Saccharomyces cerevisiae S288C: one gene and its partner. The gene in region 1 interacts genetically with each later gene. Each region holds a gene or a part of one and is shown on either strand. Other genes may lie near its edges.

Evidence for each region. A genetic interaction does not mean that the proteins touch.
Region 2: mutations in CUE4 (region 1) and PAU8 together harm fitness more than expected from each alone (negative genetic interaction), as found in Saccharomyces cerevisiae (one large-scale study listed by BioGRID).

Annotation. Positions count from the first base shown.
Region 1 is NC_001145.3:69,154-71,948, forward strand, and holds CUE4 (Cue4p), read right to left. Parts: upstream 936-2,795; coding exon 582-935; downstream 1-581. Other genes in the region: CAC2 (Cac2p), read left to right, coding at 1-547; YML100W-A (uncharacterized protein), read left to right, coding at 985-1,158; TSL1 (trehalose 6-phosphate synthase/phosphatase complex subunit), read left to right, coding at 1,471-2,795.
Region 2 is NC_001133.9:1,226-3,739, forward strand, and holds PAU8 (seripauperin PAU8), read right to left. Parts: upstream 945-2,514; coding exon 582-944; downstream 1-581. Other genes in the region: YAL067W-A (uncharacterized protein), read left to right, coding at 1,255-1,482.

The sequences.
Region 1 (2,795 bases):
GAACTGCGTATACGTGTATACTAGATCTGGAATACTGAACAGCGCTGGTGGCGTTAAAAACCGGCCTGCGATTAGAATCCCATCTTTGAAGAAACCAGCGCTGATGGCGGCTTTCTCGCCCGTATTTTACGAAACGTGCCAGAAGAGTGTGCTTAAGCTGCCCTATAAGCTAGTATTTGCCATAGCAACGACTAACGAAGTACTCGTGTACGACACGGATGTATTGGAGCCGTTATGCGTTGTGGGAAATATACATTACTCACCCATAACTGATTTAGCATGGTCTGAGGATGGCTCGACCCTACTAATCTCATCAACAGACGGATTCTGTTCGTATGTATCGATCGACACAGAAACGCAATTCGGTTCAAGGATAGAGCCGCCAGCGATGCATGCAGAGCCACTAGACACTGACGAGAGCGCGGTAGCGGCTAAGAACCAGCGCGAGGCAGGTGGGATCGTGAACATGCTGCCGGTGAAGAAGATCCCCTGCAATAGTAGCGATAGTAAAAAGAGGCGCATACATCCTACGCCAGTCGATTTGTGATTTTTAATATATTTAATGCGGTACATAAGAATGCCTAATCTAGTTTGCCAGCGAAGATATTTTCCATTGTGTGCTCAATGGACCCTGTGTTCCTGAGATCTTGCACGACTTTTTCCTGAGGCACATGTGGCGCCATCGTCATCACGATTTCAACCATGTCACTATTAACGGCTCTCTTTCGATCACTACCATGTCTGTTTAACCGAGCAACGCGTTCCTCCGGAGCCGATGGTACTGGCTCCGGAGAAGGGTCGTTGGTGGCGACCGAGGGCGCCGGTTTGGCATCCTGTACGGTTCGCGAGGGTACTTGCTTGGCGCCCCTGTGTTTCACGGTGTAAACAAACAAGCACACCATCGTCAGTATAAACACTATAGTCGATCCATCCATTTTTACTTTTGTGCGCGTGGGTAGCCGTGCCTCGTCTGTGTGTGTGGGAATGTATAAATGTGTCCCGAGTTATTATTCTAAAGCGGGCACCATTGTAGTAACTTATTGCGAAATTTCTGCTCTTCTCGTCTCGCTCAAAAATCGCGTTCAGGGTAAAAGGGGCGAAACAGAGGGCCAGATAGAAATTTCGAGAAAAGCGGGTCACCCCGCCCCTGCATTTTGATATGGCGTATTTGGGATTGCTTGCTCGAAAGTGTCTAAGTCCGGCTGGCGGGCCTGGCGCCCTCGCCGAAGGGAGATAGGAAGGGGCGGGGGTCCGGGCAGCGGCTATGGTGTCAGTTACCTAGGGAAGGAGAAGGGGGTAGAACCAAGGGGCTAGCACACTCACCCTGGGGCCCCCGTCTAGCCAAGCTTAAATATAAATACTAATGTAACTATAAATATAAGGATCTACCGTGTCATTGCACATCCACCCACCCGTCGATTAAAAAACCAAACAAAGCAAAGAATACAATAGCAACGCAAGATCAACACAATGGCTCTCATCGTGGCATCTTTGTTTTTGCCCTACCAACCACAATTCGAGCTTGACACCTCTCTCCCTGAGAACTCGCAGGTGGACTCATCTCTCGTGAACATCCAGGCTATGGCCAATGACCAACAGCAACAACGTGCGCTTTCTAACAACATCTCACAGGAATCATTGGTCGCGCCAGCACCAGAACAAGGTGTCCCCCCAGCAATCTCAAGGAGTGCCACCAGGTCACCCAGTGCTTTCAACCGCGCCTCGTCTACGACAAATACTGCCACTTTAGATGATCTTGTCTCTTCGGACATATTCATGGAAAACTTGACTGCGAATGCAACTACCTCACATACGCCAACAAGCAAGACTATGCTTAAACCCCGGAAAAATGGTTCCGTGGAACGATTCTTCTCCCCTTCTTCCAATATTCCCACGGATCGCATCGCATCGCCAATCCAGCATGAGCATGACTCCGGTTCGAGAATTGCTTCGCCAATCCAACAGCAACAGCAGGACCCCACGACCAACTTATTAAAGAACGTCAACAAGTCATTGTTAGTGCACTCACTGTTGAACAACACCTCACAAACTAGCCTAGAAGGACCCAACAACCACATTGTTACCCCGAAATCGAGGGCGGGCAACAGGCCTACTTCGGCGGCTACTTCTTTAGTTAATAGGACCAAACAAGGTTCGGCCTCCTCTGGATCTTCTGGGTCTTCTGCGCCACCTTCCATTAAAAGGATTACGCCCCACTTGACTGCGTCTGCTGCAAAACAGCGTCCCTTATTGGCTAAACAGCCTTCTAATCTGAAATATTCGGAGTTAGCAGATATTTCGTCGAGTGAGACGTCTTCGCAGCATAATGAGTCGGACCCGGATGATCTAACTACTGCCCCTGACGAGGAATATGTTTCTGATTTGGAAATGGATGACGCGAAGCAGGACTACAAGGTTCCAAAGTTCGGCGGCTATTCCAATAAATCTAAACTTAAGAAATATGCGCTGTTAAGGTCATCTCAGGAGCTGTTTAGCCGTCTTCCATGGTCGATCGTTCCCTCTATCAAAGGTAATGGCGCCATGAAGAACGCCATAAACACTGCAGTCTTGGAGAATATCATTCCGCACCGTCATGTTAAGTGGGTCGGTACCGTCGGAATCCCAACGGATGAGATTCCGGAAAATATCCTTGCGAACATCTCTGACTCTTTAAAAGACAAGTACGACTCCTATCCTGTCCTTACGGACGACGACACCTTCAAAGCCGCATACAAAAACTACTGTAAACAAATCTTGTGGCCTACGCTGCATTACCAGATTCCAGACAATCCGAA
Region 2 (2,514 bases), on another chromosome or scaffold:
ATTGTCTCACTTCATCTTACCACCCTCTATCTTATTGCTGATAGAACACTAACCCCTCAGCTTTATTTCTAGTTACAGTTACACAAAAAACTATGCCAACCCAGAAATCTTGATATTTTACGTGTCAAAAAATGAGGGTCTCTAAATGAGAGTTTGGTACCATGACTTGTAACTCGCACTGCCCTGATCTGCAATCTTGTTCTTAGAAGTGACGCATATTCTATACGGCCCGACGCGACGCGCCAAAAAATGAAAAACGAAGCAGCGACTCATTTTTATTTAAGGACAAAGGTTGCGAAGCCGCACATTTCCAATTTCATTGTTGTTTATTGGACATACACTGTTAGCTTTATTACCGTCCACGTTTTTTCTACAATAGTGTAGAAGTTTCTTTCTTATGTTCATCGTATTCATAAAATGCTTCACGAACACCGTCATTGATCAAATAGGTCTATAATATTAATATACATTTATATAATCTACGGTATTTATATCATCAAAAAAAAGTAGTTTTTTTATTTTATTTTGTTCGTTAATTTTCAATTTCTATGGAAACCCGTTCGTAAAATTGGCGTTTGTCTCTAGTTTGCGATAGTGTAGATACCGTCCTTGGATAGAGCACTGGAGATGGCTGGCTTTAATCTGCTGGAGTACCATGGAACACCGGTGATCATTCTGGTCACTTGGTCTGGAGCAATACCGGTCAACATGGTGGTGAAGTCACCGTAGTTGAAAACGGCTTCAGCAACTTCGACTGGGTAGGTTTCAGTTGGGTGGGCGGCTTGGAACATGTAGTATTGGGCTAAGTGAGCTCTGATATCAGAGACGTAGACACCCAATTCCACCAAGTTGACTCTTTCGTCAGATTGAGCTAGAGTGGTGGTTGCAGAAGCAGTAGCAGCGATGGCAGCGACACCAGCGGCGATTGAAGTTAATTTGACCATTGTATTTGTTTTGTTTGTTAGTGCTGATATAAGCTTAACAGGAAAGGAAAGAATAAAGACATATTCTCAAAGGCATATAGTTGAAGCAGCTCTATTTATACCCATTCCCTCATGGGTTGTTGCTATTTAAACGATCGCTGACTGGCACCAGTTCCTCATCAAATATTCTCTATATCTCATCTTTCACACAATCTCATTATCTCTATGGAGATGCTCTTGTTTCTGAACGAATCATAAATCTTTCATAGGTTTCGTATGTGGAGTACTGTTTTATGGCGCTTATGTGTATTCGTATGCGCAGAATGTGGGAATGCCAATTATAGGGGTGCCGAGGTGCCTTATAAAACCCTTTTCTGTGCCTGTGACATTTCCTTTTTCGGTCAAAAAGAATATCCGAATTTTAGATTTGGACCCTCGTACAGAAGCTTATTGTCTAAGCCTGAATTCAGTCTGCTTTAAACGGCTTCCGCGGAGGAAATATTTCCATCTCTTGAATTCGTACAACATTAAACGTGTGTTGGGAGTCGTATACTGTTAGGGTCTGTAAACTTGTGAACTCTCGGCAAATGCCTTGGTGCAATTACGTAATTTTAGCCGCTGAGAAGCGGATGGTAATGAGACAAGTTGATATCAAACAGATACATATTTAAAAGAGGGTACCGCTAATTTAGCAGGGCAGTATTATTGTAGTTTGATATGTACGGCTAACTGAACCTAAGTAGGGATATGAGAGTAAGAACGTTCGGCTACTCTTCTTTCTAAGTGGGATTTTTCTTAATCCTTGGATTCTTAAAAGGTTATTAAAGTTCCGCACAAAGAACGCTTGGAAATCGCATTCATCAAAGAACAACTCTTCGTTTTCCAAACAATCTTCCCGAAAAAGTAGCCGTTCATTTCCCTTCCGATTTCATTCCTAGACTGCCAAATTTTTCTTGCTCATTTATAATGATTGATAAGAATTGTATTTGTGTCCCATTCTCGTAGATAAAATTCTTGGATGTTAAAAAATTATTATTTTCTTCATAAAGAAGCTTTCAAGATATAAGATACGAAATAGGGGTTGATAATTGCATGACAGTAGCTTTAGATCAAAAAGGAAAGCATGGAGGGAAACAGTAAACAGTGAAAATTCTCTTGAGAACCAAAGTAAACCTTCATTGAAGAGCTTCCTTAAAAAATTTAGAATCTCCCATGTCAACGGGTTTCCATACCTCCCCAGCATCATACATCTTTTTTCAAAGAAACTTCAAATGCCTCTTTTATGCAAGGGGCAAAATCCTGAAATGACTTAAACTTAGCAGTTTCGTCTTTTTTCAAAGAGAATGGTTGAAGAAGAATTGTTTTGGACGCTTATTGACAATCTGTTGCATTGATAAAGTACCTACTATCCCAGACTATATTTGTATACAAGTACAAAATTAGGTTTGTTGAAACAACTTTCCGATCATTGGTGCCCGTATCTGATGTTTTTTTAGTAATTTCTTTGTAAATACAGGGAGTTGTTTCGAAAGCTTATGAGAAAAATACATGAATGACAGGTAAAAATATTGGCTCGAAAAAGAGGACAAAA